Linked DNA regions of Oryzias latipes. The protein of the gene in region 2 purifies or fractionates together with the protein of the main gene of each other region. This does not show direct contact. Links are inferred from orthologs where the notes say so. Each region holds a gene or a part of one and is shown on either strand. Other genes may lie near its edges.

What was found.
Region 1: the proteins of topbp1 (region 2) and atr purify together in Homo sapiens (affinity purification with western blotting; 8 studies listed by BioGRID). This does not show direct contact. The link is inferred for Oryzias latipes from reciprocal best matches to the Homo sapiens genes TOPBP1 and ATR.

The regions. Positions count from the first base shown.
Region 1 is NC_019880.2:5,823,137-5,829,496, forward strand, and holds part of atr (serine/threonine-protein kinase ATR), read right to left. Parts: intron 6,231-6,360; coding exon 6,064-6,230; intron 5,990-6,063; coding exon 5,825-5,989; intron 5,754-5,824; coding exon 5,662-5,753; intron 5,581-5,661; coding exon 5,489-5,580; intron 4,431-5,488; coding exon 4,253-4,430; intron 4,174-4,252; coding exon 3,994-4,173; intron 2,865-3,993; coding exon 2,705-2,864; intron 2,545-2,704; coding exon 2,365-2,544; intron 2,261-2,364; coding exon 2,118-2,260; intron 1,671-2,117; coding exon 1,573-1,670; intron 1,501-1,572; coding exon 1,271-1,500; intron 1-1,270. UniProt on the Homo sapiens protein: Serine/threonine protein kinase which activates checkpoint signaling upon genotoxic stresses such as ionizing radiation (IR), ultraviolet light (UV), or DNA replication stalling, thereby acting as a DNA damage sensor.
Region 2 is NC_019878.2:21,470,897-21,477,738, reverse strand, and holds the start of topbp1 (DNA topoisomerase 2-binding protein 1), read left to right. Parts: upstream 1-2,177; 5' UTR 2,178-2,243; intron 2,244-2,249; exon of another isoform or gene 2,250-2,594; intron 2,595-3,092; 5' UTR 3,093-3,099; coding exon 3,100-3,186; intron 3,187-3,290; coding exon 3,291-3,425; intron 3,426-3,501; coding exon 3,502-3,645; intron 3,646-4,047; coding exon 4,048-4,229; intron 4,230-4,751; coding exon 4,752-4,945; intron 4,946-5,787; coding exon 5,788-5,964; intron 5,965-6,060; coding exon 6,061-6,218; intron 6,219-6,315; coding exon 6,316-6,479; intron 6,480-6,842. Other genes in the region: dnajc13 (dnaJ homolog subfamily C member 13), read left to right, coding at 565-662. UniProt on the Homo sapiens protein: Scaffold protein that acts as a key protein-protein adapter in DNA replication and DNA repair. Composed of multiple BRCT domains, which specifically recognize and bind phosphorylated proteins, bringing proteins together into functional combinations.

The DNA.
Region 1 (6,360 bases), on a different chromosome or scaffold from region 2:
CTTTTATATTCCTAACTCCTCAGTGTTTTATCAGGGCCTGTTTGGATGAACACAGAGCTGAAATCCTGGAGATGGGAAATGTTTTTAGATCAGTTAATGAGGGCAATTTTCCACGGCACACTTGACCATCACACTGGTTGAAAAACATTGGAATAGAACAACATTTGCATTTACATAGTAACACCTTCAAAAAATTGGATATATTCACAGAATAAAACAGCATTGACAATGAATGTCGCAGTTTTTCCTTTTAGTAACTATATTGATTTAAAAGCAGGCAAACTAAAAAGCCTTTTAAAATAAAATGTCTATAAAGTATATTAAAGTTCATTTATGAAATGATCTTCAACCACAAATCAGAGGCTAAATCAGTACTTTTTAAGTTAAAAATAGGAATAATGGTTGGTGGTTGTTTTTTAAATATTTTTTTGTTATATTTTGTATTTAAACTAAAAGATCCACACATGTTGGTGTTCGCTATCTTTTGTATTCTTTTCTTTTTTGTTTTTTGGGAAACAAGTGAATTAATGTGTTTATTTTTAACAATGTAAAAGGAGCAGAAGAGAGTTTTGCCCTTTCTGTTACCCTTTCATCGTCACAAAAAATGTTTGTGTGCTGTATTGTTATATTTACTAGAAAGTAAATGAATAAAATCAAATCTAAAACTTCATCTTTTTTAGTTCAAGGCATAATGATGTAGCTTAAGAGTTTTAATTTTGTATTGCCTGAAACGAGCACTTTCAAAATGTAAAAATAAAAAAAAATTGTCCACTATTTAAACTATAATATATTTGGCATTCTGGTCTGCATCAGAGTTTGCTTCCTTAGATTATCCGCTTCGTTTATCAGGCATAAAACCACATCTACAGTCTGGTGCAGGCCAAATAAGTGAATTCTGGTCCACTTGCAAGTGAACCCTGGCGCGATACGGCAACGGTGAGAAAACAACAAAAGATTTGACCTTTTCTGGGAAGTAAAGCAAGGAGAGTCAGTAATCTTGTGGGTTTTAGTATGAAAAAAAACAAGCTTCTTTTTTTTTTTTTTCTGGTCTAACGCAGTTGGAACAGCCTGATGTTTTGACACAGTTTAATCCGGTTAGTGTGAAGGTAGACCAAACCAAAAAGAGATGTGAAATTTCCATTCTAACTAAATCTGGTGGACTAATAGAAGAAAAGGGGAAATGTAGCTGGAAATATGTAACAAAGAGTATAACCAATACAGAAACATACAGTAGCTGCCCGTTATGATTGGAAAAACACTGCATCGTTACCTTGGAAACAGCAGCCATCAGCCACATGGCCTGCTGCGGGTATGCCAGGAAGACTTTGGCTACGATATTCATTAAAGCAGCAAAGACCTCATCACTGGAATGACACACTCTAGAGATGAGCTGGGAGAAGGCGGTGAGGAACTGGTATGGAGCCAGGTTGGCGCAGTGCTCAGACACGATGGAGTTGATTTTACTGAGCTCCTGTCGCATCTGTCTGTCTGCGCGTCCAGCTGTGAATGAGAGGCGTGAAGAAGCTTCAGTCATGTCGGGCGGTGGATGGCTGGAGGTTTTTGGTCACTCACTTTTCTCACATTCACACACTTTGGCTCCAAAATCCAACCAGAGCGACAGCATGCGAGGCATGGCCTGGTAGATGTACTGGTTTCCAAACTGAAGTGCCCTAAAAAGTACAAAGATTCCACAAAAAAAGAAAAAAGAATTGCAGTGTTTCCCTGTTGATTGTAAGAATTATCTTCTCAAACAGCCCATCATAGGCGAAATCCGGCAAGTAGTGATTTATTTTAGAATAAATATAGATAAAACCCCTCATTACACACTTTTCTCTAACAGACAGAAACATTTTCACACTTTTCTCTCTTGTTTAAACTCTCAATATTCAAAGCTTTGTAGAAAACACGTCCAGTATTATAGAATGACAAAGATTGATGTAAATTTGTCGAGCTGAATGCATTCTGTATAGCATACAGGGCACAAAGGAGACTGACTGGCAAGGTCTACAACCAATTTTCTTCTTTCATAACGGTGGACCGCGATCTAGCCAGGAACCGCTGACGTCACTGTAGTTTTGAGCCACAAGGTGACGTCTAGATAGAGGAGGCTAACGTACTTTCCGAAGAACGTAACGATGTATCGGATGAGGTTTCCTTGCTTCTCCAGCTTGTTATCGGTCACCATTGGCATCACTTTGTCATAGTACTTAGCCAGATAGAAGTTCCCATCCTCCCACTCTGGTAGAAGGTTTGTCACATCCTGAAAAAATGCAGCAGATTTAGAGAAGCACTTCAGTTTGAAGAAGAAAAAAAAGTAGTTTAAATACAAATGTAAAGAGTGATGAGAATATTAAACAATATGACCTTATAGGCCTTCATGATGGCATTAGACTCGAAGTTTGCCGTCTCCTCCATGAAGCGTCCCACCAGCAGCATGGCCTTGCCTTTGGTTTGAAGGCTGCGTGGGTCCATCAGGGGCTGATTATCGGGGAAACACTGTGCCACGCCCTTCTGCAGTACAATCAAGGCCTGGTGGACATCACCCTGATCACAAGAAAATGCAGAGATTTTGTTAGAGATCATCTCTGCTCCTTTGTGGACCTTTGAACTTTGTTCAAAAGTTCAAATAAATGAGTGCAGCGTTACTATGGTGACAGAGCTAAGCTTGTAGTGGTAGGTGGATAAGTTGATGGGCTGGATGCACCTTGGACCAGAGCCACTTGGCCTTCTCTGTGACCAGCTCAGCCAGGTGAGTGTTGTTGGCGTTGAGGAGGGCGTTGAAAGCCGTCTGGTGGTGTCCGGCCTTCCTGGCCACCCGAGCACTTTGGAGCCAGCACTCCCCGACCAGCTCCTGACGCACAGGCCTGAAGCACGGGGAACACAAAATTATTTCCCGGACTTTTAAGTCAATCAAGAAAACATCTATTTTAAACAGCATTCCCAGCATTATGATTATGAGGTTTTTAGCCAAAAAAAAAAAAAAAAAAAAAAAAAAAAAAAAAAAAAAACCTCACCGTGCAGCCCCTGGCTAAAAACCTTTTTTTAGCCAGGGGCTGCACGGTGGCGCAGTGGTTAGTGCTCTTGCCTCACAGCAAGAAGGCCCCCGGTTCAAGTCCCGGCTGGGGGACCTGAACCAGAACATCAATGGGGGACCTTTCTGTGTGGAGTTTGCATGTTCTCCCCGTGCATGCGTGGGTTTTCTCCGGGATCTCCGGCTTCCTCCCACTGTCCAAAAACATGCTTCATAGGTTGATTGGCAACTCTAAATTGACCATAGGTGTGAGTGTGAGAGTGAATGGACGTGTGATTGAGGATGTTCTACCCTGCGACAGACTGGCGACCAGTCCAGGGCATCCCTTGCCTACGCCCAAGTGGCCGGGATAGGCTCCGGCAACCCCGTGACCCCGAAAGGGAAAAACGGTCAAGAAGATGGAGGTTTTTAGCCAAAATCAAAACACCGGTGTCCTCTTCTAGGACATAGTTTCTGCAGAGTGACTGTAGGTCATTAGATATTCATGTGATTTTGGTTCCCCCATCTGTTTACACGCTTTCCAGATAGCTTACAGCTCATCACAGCCCCCAAAATCTAACATTACCGGTGCAAAAAAACGACGAGCAAAATTGGAGCCTTTCAGCTGAACCGTTTAGATCCAGATTCCAGCTCAGACGAGGAAAATGAAGACGTACACGGATCTATCCGTCTGCAAGTGAATGCATTTGCAGGGAGCTCCTTTTTAAACTGCATTTTTTGTCTGCTCTTTATTTAGAAATGCAATTCTAAGCTCACTTTTGATATACATATATATATATATATATATATATGTATGTCCTCAATCATGAGAAAAATGCCAGAAGAACATGTTAAAAACACCAAGAATGACTTTTATCAGAGTGGGTCTTTAGGACTTAAACACCACCTTAAAAAAGGTCAATGTGTTTAAGTTTAATTTATGCCTAAATATAAAATAATGTTTTTTTCTATTAACGTCTTACTGTGGTCCCAGGCTGAGCAGGGCGCGACGGAGAGCCAGGATAGGTTCTTTGGCCCTGAAGGACTTCTGAGTCATCTCCAATCGGTCTGACCAGTGGGGGGGCAGCTGGCTGAGACTCGGAGTGGAGCCCCCAGTCTGCAGCTCAGTGAAGGCGTGCTCCAGCTCACTCAGCATGTGCAGCCTGAACACGCAGACAGACATTTTTCTTTGCTGGAATCAAAAGCTAAAACGGTGACAGGCGGCTGATGTTAAGCACGGACCGGACGATGTATTCGTATCCTCTCTGGTAGGTCCCACACTCATAGCTAGCAGCAGACAGGGGGACCACTTGTTTGGTCCTCACCAGCTTCAGCTTCTCACAGAAAGTCTCAGCGTCCTGCTTTTGCATGGAGAGCAGCAGCTGGCCAAGCCCCACTCCCCAAGTGCTCGACTGCTGGTCTACGGGTGGAAAACAGAAAAACAAACTCAGTCAAAGCTCAGTGCAGAGATGTTTTAAAAAGGAACTAACATAATAGAAAAACAAATCTTAAAGATGGGTCAAAAGTCTATCTTGTTACTTGTAAATATAAAGAAAAATGCAAATCTCTTAAAATACTTTTCAAATCCTCTTTCAACCTAAAATCCTTCAGCTCATGCTGCAGTGTGATGCCACCAGTTTAATCTTATTAAAATGTTGGCCACAATTTTTCCACCCAAATAAAATGAAGATAGTTTTTCTTTAGGCAAAGCTATTTCATTGCAGGTTCTGTTCCTGCCCGGTCCCGCCCATGTGTCGAAGTGTCCTTGGGCAAGACGCTGAACCCCACTTTGCTCCTGGTGGTTGTAGGTAGACGCCAGTGTTTGGCAGCAGAGCCACCGTCAGTGTGTGAATGTGTGTGCGCATGGCGAAACAACCGCAAAGTGGTATTCATTCACGCATTTCTGGGTTTTCCTCTAAAAACCTCCGATAAACGAGCGGGTTCTCACATTGTAACGTAAATAAGTGGGGAACAGCCCCTTCCAGGAAGAGTCTGCGCCGCCAGCTCCACCCCCAGGCTAACAGACACACCCACTTTCTCAGTGCTCAGCTAGCGTTGATGGGCAAAACGCTTTTGTGCACCATTTGCACATCCATCTTTGTAAAAGCTTGGACGTTGTTTGTTTTCGTGGGCAAAACACAGACACGCTCTGGCTTGTCGTCATGAAATGGGCAGGACCCCAACGGAGAGAAAGGTGGTGCATCAGAGATTAAGTCGTCTAAGTTCTGGGTAGATAAATGAGCTGTGAAAATAACTAAAATTTCATTAAAAGATTGTTCTTTTGTGTGCCAAAGGTAATATATTATTATATATATGGATATAATTTACTCTGAAAGGTTTAAGAAAAGCACGACATAAGCCCTTTAAAATAAAATATCTTTTCTTAAAAAATATTCTGTCGTTTCTAATTTTCGTTATAAAAACGGATTCCAGTCTGAAGTTGAATTGGGTTTCCTAGAAACCAAATTTCTTCTTCACCTGAACTTAAATAATCTTCCAGCAGGTCCCACTTTCCGAGCTTCCAGGCTGCCTCCACTCTGTAGGAGTTCAAGTCCGATTTCCAATGCTTCCTAAAGAGGTTTAAGCAAAGTGAATCAACTTCAAATAACTAAGACAGAAGCAGTCAGAAAGCTTTCGTGCTCGTGTCGTACTTGTTGGCTAGAACTCCGTTGACTTGTGTGATGACTGTGGAGAGTTGTCCCAGACCGAGCATAGACGTCATCACGCCATGATAATGGTCAATCTGGAAAAGGGAGTTTTCCGGTTCACCTCCAGCAGATGGCGGGAATAATAATCAGGCTTGAGTGCGGGTACCTGGTCAGACTCCAGCTGTATGGCTCGGTCGTAGCAGGCGGTCGCGTCTCGGAGCAGGCCGATGCTCTCGTGCTCCAGTATCTGTTCCCGTAGCGACGGCTCCTCTCTCCTCAACGCGTTGACGCCCCGCACTCCATCGGGCTCGTGCATGGCAGCGTACAACGTCTGCAACAGCAGCCGCACATTCAGACCCATTGACCCCCTTAAAAACCAAAGGAACTTCAGAGGATGAACTTCACCTGCAGGAAGCTTAGGTGGTCCTGGATGTTTAGCTTGTTTTCTAGGATGTAAGTTTCAAAGTGCATGAGAGCCCGGGTGTACGCTTTGGATCGCAGGGAGGCCTTGGCCAGAATGTCCTGTGGAATTCCCTTCAGGAATGCCACCACGCTCTGGAAATCCCCACTTTCTAAAAAAGTGAAATTCCACCAACAGGGTCAGAGCAACAAACTGAAGCAAATATGCAGGAACAGAACCCTTTTGCTGTAGTGCTGAAGCTCCAGAGAGCATTTAAATCTCAGTCAGTTTCCTCGCTGTTA
Region 2 (6,842 bases):
TGATATTACATACAGAATAAGCATATTAGGAATGTGCTTGACAAAAAAAAAAAAAAAACCTCTGTTGCCAAGGAAATCTGAAAATTTACTTTTGCAGATTCTTTTAGAAATTACTTAAATCAGTTCGTCACCTCCAGGCAGCCAAAACATGAAATGGTTGCTATGGAGATAAACTAACAGAAAAGCCACCATTTTGAAAAAGTTTTTTTTCTTTGTTTTTTCATGAGTTTTTGGCACAGGGTGACGGGGGCAGAATGGGAGAGTAAGGGGTGTGTAGAAGCTGCTCAGCTAGCCAAGGCGGGTAAAATTGGGGGCAGGTATCGCCTGCAGCCCATACAACGCCAATATCGGCTTTAATCTTTTACTAGGGTCCGGAAAATTTCACAACTGACAGTGAAGATTTGCATTGTCTAATAAGCTTTATCCCAAAAAATTCTCTAAATCATCTAAAGCCAGTTAAATGTAGAGAAGCTTAAGAGGTTTTCTAATAACTCCTGTTAAAAAAAAAAAAAATGTAAAAAAAGAACTCCCATCCATCATTTCTCGTGTTACTTTTATCTGCAGGTCCAGGAGTGGCGGGTTACCTAACAGCAGGAACTGGCACCACAGTTTTATCCAGTGTCCCACCCCCTGTGGACAATGACGTTGGAGACCTAGGCTGAGGAAGCGGCGTGCAGTCACGCTCAGACACTCGGACTGCCCCGCAGCCTCACCAACGGACTGTCTGGTCAGCAGAAAAAGGTCGGGGAGAGGGAAAACAGAAGAGCGGGCCCTCACCTTTTGTCACAAAATCTTTCAGACATCAATCTCCCTTCTTTCAAAAGAGAAAAAAAAATTATGCACTCAAGTCTTCATAAACCTTTTGTTTTTTAGTGACCACATTTGTTTTGTTTCTATTAATTTTTTCTTGTTTCTTTCAACAACAGAAAAAGTTTACTTTTGTATGAATATATTTTTTACTCTAGATTTTTTTCTAGGCAAACCAAGGCTTGTTATTTAGGGAATGTTTTTCTTCCTCTGATGCGTTAAACTGAAATTATTCCGACGGGATTTATTTGCCTCCATGGTGTCTGGACCTTTTCACCTCTCACATGACATGTAATTCACAAAACTGTCTTTAAAAATACACCAGTAATGGGGAAAAAAATGACTTTTTCTGTTCGGTTTGCGCAAATGAACAACTCTAGATCAAACCTTCGACCTGCATACGTTTTTGGGATCATTACACGAATCTGCTCCCCTTTATTTTCCAGCCTTCGACTCTTCATCATTGATTCTGTTTTCTTTAGTTTAATCTTCTTCCATGACTCATTTTAAGTAATTCTCCTCCCAGAAAGCAAAAAGCACTAGAATATTTATAAATGGAAAAATAACCACCGGAATGAGCTTCTGCTGACCTGAGTGACTGATTAAGAATATTTGTGAAAGACTAGTGCAATTTGTGAAATGTTCCATGTAATATTGCGTATATAAAATTTCTACATGAATGTACATTTAAAAATAAAAAATCTGTCACACTTGTACATAAAATTTTAAGAATAAAAGGGAACCCACAGTGTTGTTCTTTGTATGTCTATTTCTGTTTGTCTAATAATCAAATCTAGTAATCATACTATTGTCAAATATATATTTTTAATTGCTTAACATTCAGTTAAGATTATCTATATTTTTTATGAAAAGGTATCAATATTTCCACTACCTACTGAGTCTAAGTCTTCTTTACAATTTTAGGGTAATTTGGGTATTTCTGTAACTGATTAAATAAACAATCTTTAATATTATTGTATATTTATTCTTACAGAAGACGTATTTGTAGTCTGAATGACAGTTGGCTTTGATACAGATTTTTACAACAAATGTTTTGATGAATTTCTGTCATATAGGGAAAATGATTGTGTGGGAATGTATGGCCCAAAATAATTATTTGGGGGGGGATAGTGAAAACCAAATTGTAGATAAATTACTATTGACGTCACATGCCGGGCATGACTTTGAAGTTGTACATGCAGACATGTAGCTTTTTTAATTTAATTTTAACCAAATACATTTAGGGTGATTAATGGTATATGTTTCAAACTACTATTTTACTAGGACAGTGAGTTACATATGGACACTCTGACGGATATATATTTTTAAAGTTTTATGCTAAATGCGTGCCGTCCCGGCCAAGAAGAAAGATCTCCGATTCCACTCGGACACATTACGGAGTAACACCGGAAGTTACGCCGAAAGGCGCGAACAATGTAAACAAATAACTGCATTTCATTTGGCTGAGCCTGAGGACTTTTTAAAATTACTATTATTAGAATAAACTTGTATTTTTATGTCAATTTATTTATTCATTTTGGCAAAATAGAATGTTGAACACCAACTTACTTTACTTAAGTATTCTTTCGTTTTTGACAATTTGAATGTTAGCTAACCCGATTGGACGTTTTCTGTAAGCTAGTAGTAGTTTTGATCTAAATGAAAGTATAAACGTAGCGACTCCTTGAATTAAAAAAAAAAAAAAAGCATTGTACGCATTACACCAGACTATTGATTACATGCTGTCTGTATTGCGGCCTAAAGGACTGGTCTAAACGGATTTATAGGTAAGTACTTTCCAGTTTAAATATATTCATGATGATGTACTCCTTCTTGAGTCGTTCCATGGTCTGTAACATTTAGTTATGATGACAAGTTGTATTCTTTTGGCACATTTTAAACGTCTTCCCAATTCGGCGTCTTTTTACAGAATAAAATTCGCTAAATAAAAAAAAAAACTTCAAGTTAAAAGTCTAGCTAGCGTTCAGTGCTAACATTGAATGTTAGCTGACTCTGCCGTCCCATCATGTCCAGCAGTTAAACCTATTTCAGCTGTTATGCTGCACCCAGATTTTAGCAGCTTCCAATCCAAACAAACTCAAATGCTCCCCGGCTGTGTTTATAATTTTAATGATTTTTTTTTAAATCCTTAAATTACTGCTCCATCAAATGTACTTTTTAAATTCATTTTGTTTGATTTTTATTGCATGCTGATATAAACATGGCATCAAAAGTTGGGCACGTAAAGAAGATGTTCTCTAACTTTTATTTTGACTCTTGTGTAGACTCAACATGTCCAAAGTGGAAAAGGAGCGCTTTATTGTGAAGTTTGTGGAGAGTAAAGGATCTAATGCTGAATATGCTGTTAAAGCGTATGAGGTAAACACAACTGCACAGTCCTTTCTGCAGACGTTTTTTTCTGGATGTTCATCGATGTATATTTATTTAGTATTTATTATATAATTTTCATCCTATTCTAACAGGCCATTTTGGAGCTGCAGTCTGAAAAATATTTAAAGAAGGTTAAAGAGGAAGAGGTTTTACAGATGGAAGAGAAGGACAAGTCTCTGTTTGTGTTCAGCAGTTTTACCTCTCCTGCCTTTCTGCACTGCAAGAAGGTTTGTCGCCTTAGTGAAAGCAAAATTCCTGGCAGGATTTTTAGGAATGAACGCTTCGTTGCTCTGTGTTGTGCAGCATGGCTGTAGAATCGTGAGCCCCTTGGTGGTTTTGTACTGCCTGCAGCAGCAACGCTGCGTCCCAAAAGCAGAGAAGCCGGTCTACAACATGGCCATGGCTGATGTCACTATTTCCTGCACCAGCCTGGAAAAAGCCGCACGGGTGAGTTCTGGTCTGTCTTTGAAAAATGCTGAGACTGTTGCACCATTTCATTGCAGTTGTGTTATTTGCATGTATTGCACTGATAATGTTTTGAAAACTAGTTAATTAAATCTGTGCATCATTTCGTTTAATGCAGATTCTTGCATTTTTAGGCACAAATATCTCTGCTGTTAGTTTTTGATATAGAGAATAAAAGAAACAGTTTTTTTTACATGAAACCAGAATAGAAACTTTATAATTAGTTGTTGTTTTTTTAGGTTAAATGAAAACCCAAATGTGACCTCATGAATTGACACTAAATCACTTTTATGCTTTCACGGGCCACATAAAGTGACATGGCGGGCCACATTTGGCCTTCGGGCCTTGAGTTTGTTCATGTTTATGTTTTGTCTCACTCTGCAGGTGGATGTGATGGATCTGGTGCAGCTCATGGGTGGACGTGCCTGCCTTGATCTTAATGTGTCCGTCACACATTTAATTGCTGGGGAGGTTGGAAGCAAAAAGTATCTGGTGGCTGCCAACTTGGGTAAACCCATCCTTCTACCCTCATGGGTCAAAGCCTGCTGGGAAAAATCTCAGAATAGGTATGAACTGATTATTTTTGTTTTACATATTTGCTCCTGGGTGGCGCAGTGGTTAGCGGTCTTGCCTCATGGCAAGAAGACCCCTGGTTCAAGTCCCGGCTGGGGGACCTGAAATGGAACATCAAAAGGGGGTCTTTCTGTGTGAAGTTTACATGTTCTCCCCCGTGCATACGTGGGTTTTCTCTGGGGACTCCGGCTTCCTCCCACCGCCCAAAAACATGAGAGTGAGAGTGAATGGGTGTGTGATTGTGGACAGTCTACCCTGTGACAGACTGGCCAGGGTGTCCTTCCCCCACAAGTGGCCGGGATATGCTCTGGCAGCCCCGTGACTCCGAAAGGGACAAAATGAAAGATGAATGAATGAATCAATGAATATTTGCTCCTTTGTGGTCTTTATTATAAGTGCTAATAGTGTATTGTTATTTTTACTCTTTACACTTCATCACCCTAGTTTCCATAGATTACCGCTGATTCATAAAACTAAGTTTCTGTAGAGTTATATATTTTTTATTCTCTCTTCAGCCTTTTTAGATACACAGACTTGCCTATGGATGAATATCTGTGCCCCGTGCTGCTCGGATGCACCGTTTGTGTGACAGGCCTGTCCAGCACAGAACGCAAAGAGGTGCAGCGCCTCTGTGAACAGCACGGCGCCAAGTACAGCGGCCAGCTTAAAATGAACGAGTGCACGCACCTCATTGTCAGTGAACCAGCAGGTGAGACACTAAAATATAGAACAAAACTGGACTATAATAGGAATACCCGATACGTCCTCATTTTCATGAACATTCACTAACACAGTTACGAACTGTTTCATATTGTAATGAGTTTCTCTTCTTTTGTGTCATATTTTACTGTTACTAATAAAGCTTTGATAAAAAATGTACATTTTTTTACTCTACCACCCATCACTGCTGCTTTACAAGCATATTAGTTTGTGTTTCCATAATATACTGTCATGATGAAAGACGTTTGCTCTCACTACAATCACCTGATAAGTCAAAGCAGATTTAGATTCAAACAAACTTATCAATATCATTTTCATGCAGCTGTCTGCCTGCAATCATGGTGTGCCTGATGCTGTTGTGTAATCCTTTAGGGATGCAACAATTCCCTTTGGTTGAGGCTTCAATTTTTGTGTCACCGTTTTGTTTTTGTTTGATATATGATTTGTGTATTACAAAACGTCAACAACAAAAACAACAAAAACAATATGGAGAATTATTTTTTAAATTTGCTTTTAAGCAAGTAGCAATTAGTGTAATGTAATAAAATAATGTTACATATATTAAGTTTAGCACAACGCATGTGTTTGATGCTTACGGTGTAAACGTATTCAAATGTATCCACTTTGTGTCACCCCTCTTAGAATGAACCTATTAGTTTGTTGTTTTCCTGTAAAACTCTTCCAAAAGTGTAAAAAATCTGGAATTGTAAAGGTGATTGTTTTTAGAAAAAGTTTCTCATTATCAAAAAAAAAAAACAACAACAGCGATTTAGTAATGAAGTTAACACAACTGGTGGTGTTTTTGTTCTGAAGGTTTATGTTTTGTTGCAGGTCAGAAGTACGAGTGTGCTCGCAAATGGAATGTGTATTGCGTATCTCTGCATTGGCTATTTGACAGCATAGAGAAAGGTTTCTGTCAGGATGAGAGCAGGTACGCCGTGGAGCGCCGCGCGTCAAATACCAGCCGACCTCACACCTCAACCCCCACAGGCAACGGCAGGAAGGAAGGCGAGGAACAAAAAGGCTCAGAATTCACCTTTTAGACCTTAAAAAACGAAACATCTTTAACGTGTTGTCTTGTGAAACAACATTTGCCTCCTTTAGATGGTCCTTCGCTTTTGGGCTTGAGCAACATTTCTGTGAGTGGCAGTATGGCGATCAACGACACGGCCCTCACCATCAGCCGCCTGGAAACGGCCGATCCCATAGATGGTTTGGATCTCACCGTTTGTCCTGCTGATGACTTACTGGATGGCTGTAAGGTAAATCACTGACAAATTCCATTTTACTGTCGATGCTTGTTTGAAAGTGAAGTGCAGGATTTGAAGGCAGGACTCTTCTGCGCTCGCTACTTCACAGCTGTATTTGTGCGGCCTTCCACTGAAGAAGCTGGAGAAGCTGCGGCGTCTTGTCAACAATGCAGGAGGTCTACGTTTCAACCAACCAAGCGAGGAACTCACACATGTGGTGATGGGAGAGCCGGACCAGGAACTCACAAAGTTTCTTTCCAAAGCAGCTTACAGGTTTGATAAAATCCCTGAAATTCTGTGTCTAAATATTTAATGTTTTTTTTCCCTTAAACTGACTCTAAGCTTGTGCCGCTTGGATTGAGTTAAACGTCAATTTAAGTATTTAAGTTCTGAGTTAATAATTTCTAATTTTTTGTGATCAAGCTGCATCCAAATATTTAAAGAAATTGCAGATAAACTTGAATTATTCGGATGTAAAATAAATAAATAAAGTAGGATTTTTTTTTTAGACATTTAAATGGAATTAATATTAAATTTAGTTTGCCATTTAAGTCACAAATTTTTACATTTCTCAGATTTTTGATGCCTTTTTTAGAAACTGTAGATGTGATGTCAATCATGTAAAATTAGGATCAA